3 linked regions of the Macaca mulatta genome follow. The protein of the gene in region 1 interacts with the protein of each later gene in a pairwise test. Links are inferred from orthologs where the notes say so. Each region holds a gene or a part of one and is shown in the gene's direction. Other genes may lie near its edges.

Evidence for each region. The genes of interacting proteins can lie anywhere in the genome.
Region 2: the proteins of CSNK2B (region 1) and RNF7 interact in a two-hybrid assay, tested with the Homo sapiens proteins (2 studies listed by BioGRID). The link is inferred for Macaca mulatta from reciprocal best matches to the Homo sapiens genes CSNK2B and RNF7.
Region 3: the proteins of CSNK2B (region 1) and RPL5 interact in a two-hybrid assay, tested with the Homo sapiens proteins (5 studies listed by BioGRID and IntAct). The link is inferred for Macaca mulatta from reciprocal best matches to the Homo sapiens genes CSNK2B and RPL5.

The regions. Positions count from the first base shown.
Region 1 is NC_133409.1:150,652,005-150,657,417, reverse strand, and holds the start of CSNK2B (casein kinase II subunit beta), read left to right. Parts: upstream 1-1,700; 5' UTR 1,701-1,747; intron 1,748-2,330; 5' UTR 2,331-2,341; coding exon 2,342-2,413; intron 2,414-3,361; coding exon 3,362-3,464; intron 3,465-4,027; coding exon 4,028-4,143; intron 4,144-4,585; coding exon 4,586-4,661; intron 4,662-4,807; coding exon 4,808-4,997; intron 4,998-5,324; coding exon 5,325-5,413. UniProt on the Homo sapiens protein: Regulatory subunit of casein kinase II/CK2.
Region 2 is NC_133407.1:44,727,427-44,733,561, forward strand, and holds the start of RNF7 (RING-box protein 2), read left to right. Parts: upstream 1-2,099; 5' UTR 2,100-2,232; coding exon 2,233-2,407; intron 2,408-6,135. UniProt on the Homo sapiens protein: Catalytic component of multiple cullin-5-RING E3 ubiquitin-protein ligase complexes (ECS complexes), which mediate the ubiquitination and subsequent proteasomal degradation of target proteins.
Region 3 is NC_133406.1:147,475,766-147,481,787, reverse strand, and holds the start of RPL5 (large ribosomal subunit protein uL18), read left to right. Parts: upstream 1-1,986; 5' UTR 1,987-2,061; coding exon 2,062-2,064; exon of another isoform or gene 2,065-2,307; intron 2,308-3,329; coding exon 3,330-3,399; intron 3,400-3,487; coding exon 3,488-3,603; intron 3,604-4,739; coding exon 4,740-4,874; intron 4,875-6,022.

The DNA.
Region 1 (5,413 bases):
CTTTTGGGAGAACTGAGAAAATGATACCAGGCAAGGGAAGGATGCGACAAGCAAGCCAAGCTCCTGGTGACTCTGTAGCAACCAGAGCCTCAGGGACCTGCTGGGATGAGAAAAAGTAGTCAAAAACACTTTCCTGCCGCTAAAGTGACCCCACAACTTAAGACTCTGCAGGGTCTAAGGGAGAGAGTATATGCGTAAAAACACGAAACCCTACAATACCGACTTTGCTCCTTAGTAAAAATTAATCAAACTCCATGAGACAGTCGTCCAGAGGTCCTGCGTCCGGCCCCCACCCCCATCCTTACCAACAATAAATACCAGCCTCTTTCTGAAATCACTTTCTCACCCCGTAAAACAGACATACCAGTAGGAAAAAAAAAAATCAAACCTGGCCCTTTAAGTCTTCCGTGATCCCATTTCGGAGTTTCCTCTTCCCAAACAAAAATAGACGGGTCACTCCCTAGAAGATCTCGGGGAGAGGCTCCTATACGTGTTGCCGTGTAGCTTCCGTACCGCAAAATGGCGCTATTCTGATCAGCAGAGTTGACACAATCAAATAGCCACACGGCACGGAGACGCATGCGTGGCGACAACAACAACAAAAACCACCACCCACATTACTTGATGGCTCAGGCGTGCGCAAAGCTCCCGGTTCAGTTTCCCGCGCTGGAACTTTTCCAATAGTAAACGAGCAAAGCTCCGCGCGCCCAGGTGGCGCGAGCGCTAGGATCTGTCGGTTGGGGTCCTACTTTTACATAACGCCCCCACAATGCCCTTCGCCTTCCTCTACGTGGCCCCCGCTCCAAGCCCATTTTCTGGAGCTAGGAATCCACTCTCTGGGTTAGGAAAGGCCCTCAGGAGGCGGAGGGAAACCTGTGGAATGCCGAGAAGCCGTGTAATGAAATAACGTCACGCCTGCCCCTCACCATTACTCTGACCAGGGTTCGAAGGTCACACTTAGAGACTAAGGGGAAATGGAGAAGTGCAAGGGGACGAGCAGAATGGCTGGCACCACCTCAGGTTAGCGCACTGGGCCGTTCTGGTTCTCACACAGCCCAGCCCAGCCCAGCCCTCCCAACCCAAGTCCCTACGCACGGAGCCAAGCCGCACCTCTCGCCTCATGAGGCCGGAGCCCGGAGTAAAACAGAAGGCCCGTCAAGGGTCTCTGGCGGGACTGACTCGCACTAGGGGCCCAACAGGCAATAAGGACCCAGCGCATTGGCCAAGGATAGGCCAGTCCCCAGGGAAGCAGCACCGCGCCGGGACTAGAGGGCAACTGTGAGGAGAGCTGCGAGGAGGGGTCCAGCCTGGCTCCCTCCTTTCCCCGCCCTAAGTCAGCTTCTTCGCCCAGTGAGCACACAACTGTATTGCCCAGGCTCCCAGGCCCCGAACGCCATACCTGGTTTCCGCTTCCGGTGGCTTCTCGTTGCGCCCCGCCCGCAAGCGTCCTCCTCCGGGGATTCGTGACAGCCAGGTCGTGCGCGGGTCATCCTGGGATTGGTAGTTCGCTTTCCCTCACTTAGCCGGTTTCTCTCTCTACCGGGGACTCCGCGTCCCGGCATCCACCGCGGCACCTGACCCTTGGCGCTTGCGTGTTGCCCTCTTCCCCACCCTCCCCAATTTCCACTCCCCCCACCCCACTTCGCCTGCCGCGGTCGGGTCCGCGGCCTGCGCTGTAGCGGTCGCCGCCGTTCCTTCGAAGTAGCAACTTCCCTACCCCACCCCAGTCCTGGTCCCCGTCCAGCTGGTGAGTCTGAGGTCTTCGCTGCTCCTAGTCGCTTGTCGCTGGGAGCCGCACATGGGTCTCCGCACTTTGATATGGGGGCGGGGGGAGGAAGCAACCAGGTCCGGCAAGGAGGGAGAGGTGGCTTGAGGAGCGGAGGGGGGATGTGTGGAATCCGGTGAAAGGGACCTGACAGTCGCCCCCAACCCTTGAGAAAAGGAGGGGCCCGATTCTTGCTTGAGAGTGATAAACTTTGAAATCCTTGGGAAAGGCGCCGGGGTCGTGCAGAGACTTGCATTGGTACGGAGCCTGAGTCGAGGTCCCTGCCGGAGTTGACACAGAGAAGAGAGGGCCCTGGCTTTCGGGAGCTCCAGGGACGTGGGTCGGGCTGGTGGGTCAAAGTATCTGTTGGCTTCTTTCAAGTGGTGGGACCCCAAAGAATGTTTAACGTCAAAGAAAAGGGAACTGAGATGTAAATTGGAGGAGTTGGAGAGGAGTGCTTCAGAGTTTGGGATCCTTTAAGAAAGGGTGGTTCTAATGTGGGAGGAGGGAGGATACCCGAGGCAGGGAAGGAGAACTTGAGCTTTACTGACACTCTTTTTTTCAGCTGACGTGAAGATGAGCAGCTCAGAGGAGGTGTCCTGGATTTCCTGGTTCTGTGGGCTCCGTGGCAATGAATTCTTCTGTGAAGTGAGTTCTCTTCGACCTCCCTACTTGCTGGCTTCACATATCTTCCCACCAGATGTTCCTTCACGTATTCCACTTCTACACTGTTCTCTTACATACTACTTGAAAACTTCCCATCAACGAAGAGTCCCCTCAATAACCCCCGACGAACCTGTGCTAAAGTGGCAAAACTGGGGCCCAAGTTTTGACTCTGCCACCCTCCAGCAGGCAATTTGTGTCTTTTTCTTTATCTTTTTTTTGAGACTGGGTCTCACTGTGTCGCCCAGGCTGGAGTGTAGTGGTGCGATCTCGGCTCACTGCGACCTCTGCCTCCCAGGTTCAAGCGATTCTCCTGCTCCAGCCACCCAAGTAGCTGGGATTACAAGTACCCGCCACCACACCCGGCTAATTTTTGGATTTTTAGTAGAGACAGGGTTTCACCATGTTGGCCAGGCTGGTCTCAAACTCCAGACCTCAGGTGATCTGCCCGCCTCAGCCTCCCAAAGTGCTGGGATTACAGGCATAAGCCATTGCGCCCAGCCTGTATCTTTTATTACTAAAGTTGTACTGCTAGTACATGTCTCAGCTGGCTGTTAGGAAAATTGAAATGCTACGTATTGAAATGTTTTGTTCAGAAACCATGCCGTTCAGCTTCCATCCTCCTCAGCCAGCTGAGAGGACAAAACTGGTTCCTAGAGATGGAGTACAGGAGTAGGGACAGAGATCTTGAAAAGAATGTCTAAGAAAAAGATTGCTGTACCTGCTTATCCTTAGAAAAGAAAAGCCAAAGCTTTATGGGAGGGAGTATAGGTGAACTAGGGAGAGACGCAAGTACTTCTGCTGAGTTGGGAGTGAGAAACAAGCGGAACAGATGCAGTTGTGTTGATGATAAGGCATCAGTTAGAGCATTTTGCCCAGGTCAAAGATGGGGATTTTGATATGGGTTCCCTCTTGGCTTCCATGTCCCCACAGGTGGATGAAGACTACATTCAGGACAAATTTAATCTTACTGGACTCAATGAGCAGGTTCCTCACTATCGACAAGCTCTAGACATGATCTTGGACCTGGAGCCTGGTGAGGCACCCTCAGGGTTGTTTTGTGTGTGTGCATGCACTTTTTTTCTCTTCAAATCTATATTCACTTACTTGAATTTTGAAATTTCCTTTGGTTCTCTGATTTCTTTAACCCCAAATTCATGCTTTATTTTGATCCTCCACCTGACTGTGTCTAGTTTTGTGACGTATATCACTTGTTCCCATGTTTTCTAAATCCACAATTCAGATGTTTTCCAAAATATGTTTCCTCATGGGTCTGGTTTGCTATTTCTCCTGCTTTGCACCTTCCAGTCTAGAGTTTCATCTTTTGCATTGACATTGTTGCAGTTATGTATTGGGGAGGGAGCTGGGAGGGAGAGTGGGGAGCGGAGGCTAAAGAGGTGTGAAGAGAAGACAGAGCTGTCTTGGGTTGGCGCAAGGGTCAGAAGCCCAGGTTTCTGGGTCACATGCCCAGATGTTGGATGGGGTAAGGCCCAAAAGTAGGTGCCAGGCGAACTGAATAGTCCGCACCCCCTGGATATGGGCAGGGCACCTAGGAAAGCTGAAAAACAAGTGGTTGCATTTGGCCGGGCTGTGTTTCAGATGAAGAACTGGAAGACAACCCCAACCAGAGTGACCTGATTGAGCAGGCTGCCGAGATGCTTTATGGATTGATCCACGCCCGCTACATCCTTACCAACCGTGGCATTGCCCAGATGGTGAGGCCTCTCTGCTCCTAATTGCCTCCTTCTGAGCAGTAAGGGACACAGGTTCCTGCAGCAAGAAGTCATGTTTAAGCCTTGTTTAAGGAAACTGGCTGAGAAGAGGAGAAGAACCCCAGGCTTGGGCCTGGGAATTGAATTCTGATTGGGGGTCATCCTGAAGGGATAATTTTCAGGGAGGGAGACAGTCCTTGAACAGAGAGTTGTGATAGACTGCCTCTTCCTCAGGGAACAAACAACAAATGGCTCTGATGGTTTGTAGCCTGCCTAACTGGAAGAAAGGCAACATAGGAGTTTGAGAGCCCATCTGGGCCAGAGAAGGGGCCTCTGGACAGAGGTGGGAGGAGTGGGGGACAGAGTGATATGGGTTGAGCTGAGAAGGGAGTTGCCTCTTCTCTTCACACCTACCTGCCAACCCCTTCCATTTTATTCACCTCAGTTGGAAAAGTACCAGCAGGGAGACTTTGGTTACTGTCCTCGTGTGTACTGTGAGAACCAGCCAATGCTTCCCATCGGTGAGTGTTGAAGAAGGGAAAGGAAGGCACCTTGTGGCAGTCTTACGGGAAGGAGTTAGGGCTCAGCATGTTGGGGCCTGAGTCCTGAGGGGAGGTTAAGTAGGAACAGGGAGATACCTGGCCTCCTGAGTCTGGCTGTCTCCCAGGCCTTTCAGACATCCCAGGTGAAGCCATGGTGAAGCTCTACTGCCCCAAGTGCATGGATGTGTACACACCCAAGTCATCGAGACACCATCACACGGATGGCGCCTACTTTGGCACTGGTTTCCCTCACATGCTCTTCATGGTGCATCCCGAGTACCGGCCCAAGAGACCCGCCAACCAGTTTGTGCCCAGGTAGGGAGCAGGGAGAGTCATTAAGGGTAAAAGGAAAGGCCTAAGATCCCCCAGAGAGAGGGGAGGATGGGGCATGGCCCTTTTTTGAGGCCTGCTTCTCCCAGAATCGGCATCTCCCTGCGGAGTGACTGTGGGAAAGTTATTTGATTGTCTGTGCTTCAGTTACCTTATCATAGAATGTTCTTGAGCTGAGAAGTTGGGAACCACTAGGCTTAAGCTCTGAGCAGGTCCATGGAGGAGTTCAGGTGGGGAGGTGGGAATGCAGGTGACTAGCAGGGTCTGGATGGGGCTCATGCTACTGCCTCTCTGACCTCTGCCCTGGTCCAGGCTCTACGGTTTCAAGATTCATCCGATGGCCTACCAGCTGCAGCTCCAAGCCGCCAGCAACTTCAAGAGCCCAGTCAAGACGATTCGCT
Region 2 (6,135 bases), on another chromosome or scaffold:
ATAGTTCCTGCCCTTTGGGTGCTCATGATGGCAGACAAGCTCTCATGAAGGTGAACCAAAGGAGGGAAATCACAGGAGACCCATTGGCCCCGCCACGCCTGAACAGCTGCTGCAGCCTGAACTTTCCACCTCACTCCTGCTTTCCCTTCTCCCCATGCATGCTTGCTTGTTGCACTGAACTCCAGTGCATCACTCATTCCTGTTCTCTTTGTCAGGAGAAAAAGTTCTCCTGACATGCAGTGTGTCAAAACCATACTCATCTCCCCAATCCGCCTTCCACTTCCCGCCCCTATGCTCCCGCCTGGCTTCTATTCTCAAATTTCACCGCAGCCGACACCTCTCTCCAGATTTCATGGCTCAGCAAGGGCACATACCATTCCTCCAGCAAAGCCATCCTTCTCCCTTTTCACCATTTCATCCTTTTGTCTTTCAAACTTCTCACCAACTGGGTGCGTTTTATCCTTCTCTTTGTTAGATACCTAGCATTTACAGCCATCTCTAGGCAGATGTGTGGTCGTTCAGTAAGAAGGGAACACATGTTTTGTGTGCTCACTCCAATGGGTGTCTGGCTTATAAAGTTGGTGTGGTCCAATTCCTGTCTGCCACCACCATTGTGCTCTGCTCTGCCCAACAGCTCAGAGAGGTTTGCTCTCTCCACTGGCCCTGAAGGCCCTGAAGGCCTCCCATGTTCCCCCAGTTCAAACTTCACCTCTCCCATGAGGCTTTCCCTCACTGCATCCTGCACCCTCACAGCCCTTAACACACCACTCAACAAATACACATTTCCATCTAACCGAATGTGACCCTGCGTCCATATTTATGTTTCTATAGATTAATGCATTCTTGTTTCCCCTGCCAGGTTCCATTGGCCTGGTTACCTTTTGCCCAGGTATCAGGAGATGAGGGGATGGCGAGAGGCTCAGAATCCAAACTTGACAGAGTAGGTGTCCACCACTAGGTGACGGTGGGATCAGGCATCTCCTTAGGCTGTCTGTGCTTCTGCTTTCTTTTCAGTGGAGATGCCTGCTTTCTTGGAAACACATGTGATGGTGGGCTAGCAGTAGAAGCACTACTGTAATAACAATGTGATCTTTGTCATTTCACTTCTTCGGACCTCATTAGTCCTACATATAAAAAGAGGAAGTTAAACTAGCTCAAATGTACTGAGCAGAAGGAATGGAGACTCTGCAGATGAGGAAGCAGGGCCTGAAAAATACGTGTGGGTTGTGTCGCCACACACCGGGACTCCTGGGATCCTGACCTCTTTTAGGGGTCAAAAGAGGGCAAACTAGTTGCCTAACAATATTTAGAGCTATTTCTCTCTTTTCACTCTCATTCTACGAGTGTACACGGGAGTTTCTAGAAATTACATGGTATGTGAAGTTATCCCTCTAATGATAACCTCTAATGAGGTTATTACTGTGATTTTTAATGAATACATTTAAAAATATGTTTTAATTTCTTAAAAAGAAACATTAATCTCTATGTACGTGTGTATACATATACAGGAAATGTATGAATATTCATTATACATGAATGTACATATATTCATTGTATATATGTATATATATTCATACATATGTGTGTGTGTATATATATATTTATACATTTCCTACATAAATAAAAGCTCTTTAAGGGACTAATAATTTTTAAGTGAAAAGGAGTCCTGAGACCAAAAAGTCTGAGAATCACTGAGCCAGATTTCTAGATCTTTAAGATCATTAATTCACTCAAGAAATAATTGTGCCTCTTGTGGCCAGGCATTTTGTAGATACCGAGGACAATGTGGTGATAAGAACATATTCCCTGCTCTGATAGAGTTTTACACTTGGGAGGGAAAAGACAAACAAGTAAATTAACAAGATTATTTCTGAGAGCAGTAGTTTTAATGAAGCCATAAAGCAGGACACACATTCCAGCACAATCTGTGCGCCTGCTCAGACGTAACACCCCGCAGCGCGGCAGGCGGATTCGGCAGCGTAGCCCCGAGAAGCCCCAAGCCCGCTCGGTCGCCCCAGGAGGGCGGGGGCGGGGCCTGCCTGCCCCCCCGCCGCTGGCGTCCGGTGACGTCACTGGGCCGCGCCAGCCAATCGTGGGTGGCCGGGGTCTGGGCACCACGGTGGCCTGCGGCCTGCGGGCGGCGCTGTGGCCCGTCGGGCGGCCCGGCAGAGCCGCCCTAGCCTCCCGCCTACCCCAAGCCAACGTCTCCGCCGTCGGCTCCGCGGCGCCGCCATGGCCGACGTGGAAGACGGAGAGGAAACCTGCGCCCTGGCGTCTCACTCCGGGAGCTCAGGCTCCAAGTCGGGAGGCGACAAGATGTTCTCCCTCAAGAAGTGGAACGCGGTGGCCATGTGGAGCTGGGACGTTGAGTGCGATACGTGCGCCATCTGCAGGGTCCAGGTGATGGGTAAGCGCTGCACGCAAGGCCGGGGCCGCGCTGCGGCCTCCGGGAGCCGACTTCGGGATTGGGACTGGACGGGCGCCCGCCAGAAGCCTTGGAAAGTCCCCTGCCTTGGGGAGTGGGTGGAGGTCGCCCTGCCCGGGCGCCGGAGGAACGCGGAGCCACGATCCTGTTGCGGCTCCTGAGGGCTGAGGGGTTGTGCAACAGGCGCCCGGCGCCGGGTGGTTGGTGTTCTAGGGAGAGAAATGGGCAATAAACGGAGGTAAACAAGGTAATTTCAGGTAGTGATGGGTGTGACCAGGAAAATAAAACCGGGTGATTGTTGGGAACTAGCAGGAAACACTTCGGTTTGTGTGGCCAGCCCCTGTTCTAAAAGCTCATCGCAAGGTGGACAGAGTAAAGGCCGTGATTCAGCAGTGAACTTTAATAGTCTTGGTCACCATCAAAGTGATGCTCCGGAGTCATCTTCCACAAAACGACACCCTTAGTTCTCCTCGAGGTACACAGGAAAGTGTTCACAGCCATTGCATTTCCGGATTAGCTTACCGCCGCTCTTCGAATGGCTTTTAAATCTGGATTGATCTAAGACGGGTCAGATAGCACTAGCGTGGCTTGAAGGGGACAGTGTGATTCAAGAATATCTAAGTTTCATGGAAGCCGAAGAATTGTAAGCCCTTTTTTCAGAAATGTAGAACTTCACCTCCATTACACCCCCCTCTCCATATCGGATGTCATTTCCTGGAGAAGATACTGCCCTGCTCTGAGTCATGCCTTTGTGGAGAACCCTCTTACAAATATGTCCTCTTTCTGTGATATTTGGAGTTAAAATATTAGACCAAGCAAAATGTTTCAGAACAGCTTACTCTTGTTATATTTTATATGGTTCTAAGATCTCAGACCACTTTGAAAAGCAAGTGCTGTTTAAATGCAAGTTGTATTTTCAGATAGGGCATTTAAAATTACTGTGAGAGCATCTTCAGTGGAGTTCTTTATTGAGGGTAGTTAAAGAAAACAGACATTTCTGTAGTTTGAAAACTGACTTGTCTTGAAAAATGAGAGAATTGGAGAACATAAAGAGAATTGCTGTCCTTGAGGGGGGATGAGACTTTAAACCTACCAGAATCAAGAGATTTCTCAATTTATGCTCTTTTGTCTTTTATTCTAAGGGCTTGTTTCAAAGAGGATTTACAACAATTGGATTCAGATATTTTTACCTTTTACTTTTGAAAGACCTTGTTATTAGACATGACCCACTTATTTTATATGGATCACTTGAGCCCAAGAGTTTGAGACCTGCCTAGGCAACATCGCAAGACCCTATCTCTACAATTAAAAATTAAAATAAAGTGACCAGGCATGGTGGCCTCCAGCTACTCAGGAGGCTGAGGTGGGAGGATCCCTTGAGCCCAGGAGGTCGAGGCTACAGTGAGCCTTTTTCCTGCCACTGCCACGATACTCTAGCTTGGGTGACAGAATGAGACCCTGTCTCAAAAACAAACAAACAAAACATATTAGGCTTTAAAAGTATCTAGTTTATTTGCCAGCAGTACAGCTGCCCCTACCCTCACTTAGGAATCATAGTTTCCAGTTTGGGAAGCATTTTTTAACTGATCCAAGAGACTTTTTTTTTTTTTTTTTTTTTTTTTTTGCAATACAAGTTTTGCTAAACATTTTATCTCCTAAATAAATTCCTTTAGTTTAAAGGAAACTAAACTTTCACTTAGTTCCTTTTCAGTTTAAAAATAATGTTCCCAAAGGGTATTTTCAAAAGATTTCTCTCCCAAAAAGCTATTTCCTCCCCGAAGGAAAAACATTTAAGCAGTAAGTGGAAATGTATAACCTGAAATAATGATTGAAACTTTGCAACAAATAAACTTTACTGAGATATTTTAATGTAGGTCAAAGTATAGGCTATAAATGACACATTTCATCATAAACTTTCTAATTATAGCAAGTATTCTGCTACTACAGGATCAGTCTTGCATATTTGCAAACAGCTGTACTTTGGGTTCAGGAAAGTATTCTAGGCTAGACCTTTGTATTTTGTTTATGAGGTGTTAAAACCCACTTAGAGGTCAGGTGACAGCAGAAGGAAACTTTTTTTCCAGACTTCCTAGTCTTTACCCTAGCACCCTTCTAAAAGGTGTTATTGTACTCCTTAGAAATGTGCTGTTTTAGATTCTAGGAAGATCATTAAAGCAAATTTTTATCTTTTATCTGCAACTTTAGGAATTTGTGTAGATTTGGGTCAGTTTTGATAATCTACATTAGAGCTATAAGCGTAATTTAGAGATTCCTAGATTCAGCAACAAGAACCCACTTTGTTCCCTTTCCTTAGTATTTGGAATTTATCTCACACTTGTGATTTATTATACTTTCTGCTCCCAAGATTTGCCCGTCAGCCCATTCTGATATGGATAACACTCTCATCTTCGTTTCCACTATCCTCCCTTCATTCAGAAAAGAGTGATGATTGCATAGTGAGCAAAGTGCTGATGAAAAGCGTTGAATAGGTTTGCTAGTAGAGCCAGTTATAATAGCCAGGGTAACCCTTCATGACTGTATCACCTTAGATATTTCACGTAACTTTTGGGAGCCTTATTTTCCTAATTTGTAAAGAGGCAGTTGGGATCACCAACCTTAATGTTAAAATTCTGTGATTGCACAGAACTAGAGCCAGATACAGGTAGCACGTCTTCACTGTTGTATCACAACCCTCATGATATTTAGTTGTCTGTCTACGTCCCCATTTGCTGGTGAGCCCCTTGAGACCCAGCCTTGGTCATTTTGGTGTCTCCAGTGCATAACTCCTTGCACAGAGGAGTAATTGTGGGATTGAAGAAAACCTCAGGAGGCAGTGGTTGTTTTTAATCCACACTGAAGAGACTAGGGCGGTGGTGTGTTTTTAAGGGTAAGAGCATGTGGAGAGGAGCAAACAAATGCCTGAGCAAAACCCAGTATAAGAAGAGAAGCAGGCTTCAACTCCACCGTGTTTCTATTTTTACAGAATTATTTTTCTCCTATTTATGTTAAAAACTATTTTCTGTTGGTTTGAACTTCCTTTTACCCAACACTGACTCCTCTTCCAGCTAGTGAATGAGTCCATTTTTGGTCCCTAAAATATTCTATATTACTTTTTTCATTAAGCTGATAGTATTCCAGATTGAATTTTGAAAACTTCTAGTACAGCCTTTAGGATCTCATTTTTAGTGTTTACACCTACTCCACTATATTAGAAGTTACTGTAAGCTCACTGGGCATGCTCATGGACAGTTCATTTTCAAGACACCCTTTTAAATAGCCCATACATATAATGTTAGTATTTGTTTATATGTACATCAAGAAATTCTAGAAGGATACCCAAGAAACCACTAATAAAGTAATTTATTAAAGTACTTTACCATTGCTGGGTAAATGCTTTGGGCTCAGACTTACCTGTAAAGGAAGTATTTTTTTTTAAAACTTTTATTTTAGATTCAGGGGTATAAGTGTAGGTTTGTTACATAGGTAAACTTGTGTCACAGGGGTTTGTCGTACAGATTATTTCATCACCCAGGTATTAAGCCTAGTACCCATTAGTTATTTTTCCTGATCCTCTCCACCCTCCACCCTCCAAAAGGCCCCAGTGTGTGTTGTTCCCTGCTGTGTGTCCATGTGTTCTCATCATTTAGCTCCCAAGCATTTTCTTACAAAGAAAAAAACCTTAGTGCTTAGGGATATCTAGTATTTACTTA
Region 3 (6,022 bases), on another chromosome or scaffold:
GGAACAGGTATACATATTTTTAATTTTCTTGTTATGGATTTATAAGGTAAAAAGGAGAGGGATAAGGATGATAAAGTATATTTAATTTAACATGTTATTTGTTTCATAACTTCTTTGTTTGGATTTTATTTTATTTATTTATTTTTTTGAGACAGAGTCTTGCTCTGTCGCCCAGGCTGGAGTGCAGTGGCCGGATCTCAGCTCACTGAAAGCTCTGCCTCCCAGGTTCACGCCATTCTCCTGCCTCAGCCTCCCGAGTAGCTGGGACTACAGGTGCCTGCCACCTCGCCCAGCTAGTTTTTTGTATTTTTTAGTAGAGACGGGGTTTCACCGTGTTAGCCAGGATGGTCTCCATCTCCTGACCTCGTGATCCGCCCGTCTCGGACTCCCAAAGTGCTGGGATTACAGGCTCGAGCCACCGTGCCCGGCCTTCGATTTTATTTTTTATAGAGACAGGGTCTCACCAGGTTTCCCAGGCCGGTCTCCAACTCCTGGGTTTAAGTGATCCTCCTGCCTTGGCCTCCCAAAGTGCTAGGATTACAGGCCTGACCCACCACGTCCAGCCTGCTTCATGACTTTTTTTTTTTTTTTTTTTTTTTGAGACGGAGTCTCACTCTGTCACCAGGCTGGAGTGCAGTGGCACGATCTCAGCTCACTGCAACCTCTGCCCCCCTCGTTCAAGTGATTCTCCTGTCTCAGCCTCCTGAGTAGCTGGTACTACAGGTGCGTGTCACCATGCCCGGCTAGTTTTTTTATTTTTAGCAGAGATGGGGTTTCACCTTGTTGTCCAGGATGGTCTCGATCGCTTGACCTCGTGATCCACCTGCCTCAGCCTCCCAAAGTGCTGGGATTACAGGCGTGAGCCACCGCACCTGGCCTGAGCTACTGTGCCCGGCCCATGACTTCTAAATATTCAGATGAATGGTATGTGGGTCTTCCCATGAACCCTTGTCCTAAAACACACAAAAGTTAGGAGCGGGCCTGTATCCAGGCAGACTTTCCTTCCTGGTGCTTTTGCCTCCAATGTAAGCAAGGCCTGACCAAGACATGGAGCCCTTTTGGTAGGCTAATAACTTGATAATCCACCAAAATGAAGGTTTTTAAATATTTTCTATAAATACGAATTGAATACGTCTTTCTCTACACTTTCAAAGGTGGCCCTGCAAAAATAGAATCACAATTCCTGTGAGAAGTGTTTTAAGTTTTCTGCTCTAGAGCTCTGTTGACATCGGCCATAGTGGACTCTGTTTATTTTTCCTGTTATATAAGGAATTACAAGTTGGAATCAGAGGTAATTGGCACCCTAATTCTGATTTATCCTAGTGGCAGTGTTTTGGAGTCACTTAACCCTGTCATCCTGGTTGGCCGTACCTTCTTCCAGCCCTGATGGTGAGCAGCTGATACCCTGCTAGGTGCTGGAGAGTCAGAGGTGGACATCAGGGCCCACCCTCGGAAAGTTGACAGTCTGTGGTGGGCTGAAGCCGGTAGAAAGCTGCCGTAGGAAGGCAGAGGAGTGGCCCCTATCCCAGGCTTGGGGCTCTCAGGGAAGGCTTCCTGGGGGTGAGATGGGAGGGTGGGTCCGTTTGCTCTTGGACCAGGATGAGTAGCCCAGAGAAGGCAAGAGGGCTCCCAAGCAAACTTGCCCTATTTAATTTTTTTTTCTTGCTTAGAAAAGCAAAATACGTTTGTTATGAACAAAACAGAACAGAACAGAACAGAACAAAACAAAACAAAACAAAACAAAACAAAACAAAAACGCTGTAGCAAAGAAAGCGAAAGGCTCCACTAATCCTCCCTGCTCCTCCTCACCGCACGGATCCTATGAGATACCCCGAGCGTTGGAACCTTGACAGCTTGTGCAGGCATTCACCCTCCTGCCAGCAGGGGGCGGAACGTAAAACGCTTTGTGGCCGACGCCTTCTCTCTTCCACACGTCACTGGCGTGACTGCCTGCGCTACATACTGCGCCTGCGCAAGAGCTGTGGCCCTTTTCCCCCCCTCTAGCGCCGCTGGGCCTGCAGGTCTCTGTCGACCCGCGGACGCTGGTCTCTGTTCCGCAGGATGGTGAGTTTATGCCTCGGTCTCGGGGCTCTAGATACACGGAGGTTCCCTTTTCTTGTCCGTACGCCAGCCTAGGGCCCGTGTCGCGCGTCGCAGGGGCCGGATGGCGTTAGATTGCTGGCTGTGACTAGGTCGAGGTGCAGCTCCCAGCGTGGCCTTAAATGGCTGCCGCCCGGTGCGCGAACTTGGGGGGAGGGGTTGGCGAAGAAGGGTAGCGAGAGCTTGGACTGCGGATTGGGGAGAAGGGTGAGTTTAGACGGCCTGAGTGGGGATACTGCCGTCTAGTGTGAGGGGGCGCTGGCAAGCGGCCTGGCGTGAGAGGTCGCAAGCAGTCGGCCTCAGCCTAGCTGGAGAACGCCGGAATGGAGGGGGGCTGTAGGTCCTCGGGTCCCGCTCGAGCTCCGAGTACCGAGTACTTCGTGGCTTTTCCGGGAGAATGTCGGAGCGGGCGAGTCTTTTAGGAAGCTTGTGCTGGTGGGCCAAGCAAGTGGCTTTGAAGCCAAAATTGTCAGTGGAGCTTGGAGGCGGAGGTGTTCCTGGGCCCCGGAAACTCCTTTAACGTGGAATACGTGCCTCCTGTCTCTTCCTCTGGAGGCCGTCGCCGGACGAGTTATTAATTATTGGGGTAGGGCCCCAAGGGTGGGATGAAATGTTGCTTTAGCTGATGGGGAACAGTGCTGTTTTAGTGGGGAATTATTGCTGAATGTGCTCTTACCCAGTTAAGCTTTGTGGCAGGTAATTTTGGCTTTTGAAAAACATACGTGGGAAGCGAGAGAGGTATGTAGTTGTTATTTGAGGCTAGATTTTCGAAGTGGGACATAGCGTGTTCCGAACAGACTGACGTTTGGCGCCACTGACTGCTGTCTAGAGCAGTGCTTCGCAAAAGTTTGGCACAGTTGCTGGTGCTGGTCCTCGAAGAAAAAAGTACGGAAATTGAGAGCGTTTAAACCTTTTGAAAGCAATGTAACAATAATTTTATAGCTTTAAATGTAATAAATTGGGATCTGCATTTTGTATGTTTCTTTTATTCCATATTTCTCTAATGATTCGTTTTTATTGTGTTTTATAAAACTATCAGTCTGTGACATGGAATGTAGAGGAAAAACATTCTTGAACCCTAGTTGCTTGTGAAACATGGGATTCTGCAAGTGACAGTTTGTTTTTGCTCTTGAAGTTGGAGTGTTATTTTGTTACATGGTTAATTCATGTCAAAAGTATCATAGGCTAAGACATTATCAAAGTTTTAATAACATCCTTTTTTCTTTAAGGGGTTTGTTAAAGTTGTTAAGAATAAGGCCTACTTTAAGAGATACCAAGTGAAATTTAGAAGACGACGAGGTACTGTCACCTTTTTGTGTTTACAATATTAATCTGCTTTGCAGATGCAGTGGAATATCTTTTCTAAAATTACTTTTTTCTTTCTCAGAGGGTAAAACTGATTACTATGCTCGGAAACGCTTGGTGATACAGGATAAAAATAAATACAACACACCCAAATACAGGATGATAGTTCGTGTAACAAACAGAGATATCATTTGTCAGGTAAGTTATATTCTAGACATTCCCCCCTTTTTTTTTTACTGCTAGAGAAATTGTGCTTGGGAAGCAAAGCACATGGTGTGTGTGTTAGAAGGGCTGTCTAGCACCTCCAAAAGCATTCAGTGAATAATTTCTTTTCCTTTTAGTAAGTCTAGAATTGGAGCCTGGGAAATTGGTACTTTAAAAAATGCTCTTGGTTGGGCACGGTGGCTCATGCCTGTAATCCCAGCACTTTGGAAAGATTGCTTGAGCCCAGGAGTTTCAGACCAGCCTGGGCAATATAGTGAGAGTTTGTCTTCACAAAAAATGTAAGAAAATTAGCTGGGCATGGTGGGGCGCGCTTGTAGTCCCAGCCACTCAGTGGAAGGATTGTTTGAGCCCCGAGGTTGAGGCTGCAGTGAAGTGAGATCACACCTCTGCCCTCCAACCTAGGCGAGAGAGTAAGAGACTGATTTGTTTTATGTGTGTGGGATGGGGAGATTAGAAGCAAGTAAGAAGTTCTTGCCCATCCCAATTCCAGTAGAAGAATAGGGTTTGTCCTTATTTTTCCTATATGGCCTTGTATGCCACTTAACCACTGAAGAGGTAGTTGCGAGTTAAACAGGGATTTAAGCTTGTTCTGCTTATTCTTTGAAATAGGTTTTAATAAAATATACAAAGGTGGCTCCCGCATGAAAGACCTTTAGGAAGTGTCAGTTTGCTGTTGTACCAGGAGCACTCTCACTGGACTCTGAAAGCTAGAATCCTGGGCTTTTACAACTAGGAGAAATTCTGAGAGTTAAGATTTATTGATATTTTGTAGCAGGTAGGCACACCTGTGTTCTGGGCCAATAATTTGTTGATTGTGAAGGCATTGTCTTCCTCCGTACCCAAGTTCAGATAACTAAACATTAGGTTCCTGAGACTTTGCCGAATTTAGTTATGTTTAGTTCAAAAGATGATTGAAATATTTGGATATTCCTCTTTGACTTTTTAAGTACCTCTAATTTACTAGTAACCCAGCTAAGAGTCTTAAGCATTTTAAGTGATGCACATTTATGTCCATCAATGTTTTTTTAATTCCTTTGAAAAGAAATCATTAAGATGTAATGAGAGAGTGAAAGCAACAGATTACTAACCTAGTTTTTCTCTTACTGTAGATTGCTTATGCCCGTATAGAGGGGGATATGATAGTCTGCGCAGCATATGCACACGAACTGCCAAAATACGGTGTGAAGGTTGGCCTGACAAACTATGCTGCAGCATATTGTACTGGCCTGCTGCTGGCCCGCAGGGTATGTACAAGATGACTTTAATTGATGTAGTTTGCGGCTCATTGCTTGGAGAGTTTTCTGTAAGATGTCTGTAAATGGATAAGATAGCTTCAGTTGTGCTTCAGGAGAGTGCCTGCTTCCAGTTTTCTGCCCTGTTTATGGACCTATCTAGGTCAGCTCTTTCCAGTAAACTTTTCTGCAATGACACAAATCTGTAATTTGCTGTCCAGTGGTTTTGCCACTAGCAACCTGTGGCTGTTGAGTTCCAGCAGTATATAAACTTGTATTTGAAAATCTACTTGGCTGGGCACGGTGGCTCAAGCCTGTAATCCCAGCACTTTGGGAGGCCGAGATGGGCGGATCACGAGGTCAGGAGATCGAGGCCATCCTGGCTAACACGGTGAAACCCCATCTCTACTAAAAAAAAAAAAAAAGAAAAAACTAGCCTGGCATGGTGGTGGGCGCCTGTAGTCCCAGGTACTCGGGAGGCTGAGGCAGGAGAATGGCGTAAACCCAGGAGGCGGAGCTTGCAGTGAGCTGAGATCCGGCCACTGCAGCCTGGGCAACAGAGCGAGACTCTGTCTCAAAAAAAAAAAAAAAAAAAAAAGAAAATCTACTTGTAGCTAGTGACTATTTGCTACTTAGGTATACATTCTGGATGTTGGCAAACATTAAAAATGCAGACTTTTGGGAACTCCACTCTAGACCGTCTGGAATCTGTATTTTGATAGTATGTACCAAGTGATTTATATGCACATTAAAACTGGAGAATCTTGGCTGGGCGCAGTGGCTCAAGCCTATAATCCCAGCACTTTGGGAAGCCGAGAACGGTGGGTCACTTGAGGTTAGGAGTTTGACTAGCCTGGCCAGCATGGTGAAGCCCTGTCTCTACTAAAAAAAATAGAAAAAAAAAAAAAAAAAGCCGGGCATGATGGTGTGTGTGCTGGTAGTCCCAACTACTTGGGAGGCTGAGGCAGGAGAATCACTTGAACCCAGAAGGCAGAGGTTGCAGTGAGCTGAGATCACGCCATTGCACTCCAGCCTGGGCAACAAGAGCAAAACTCCGTTTCAAAAAAAAAAAGAGAGAATCTTAGTGTTTTGGAGAGTGGTCATTGATAGGAAGATTCATTTTTGTTCTAAACATTTTTCCATCTGGTTGGCAGTGTTTG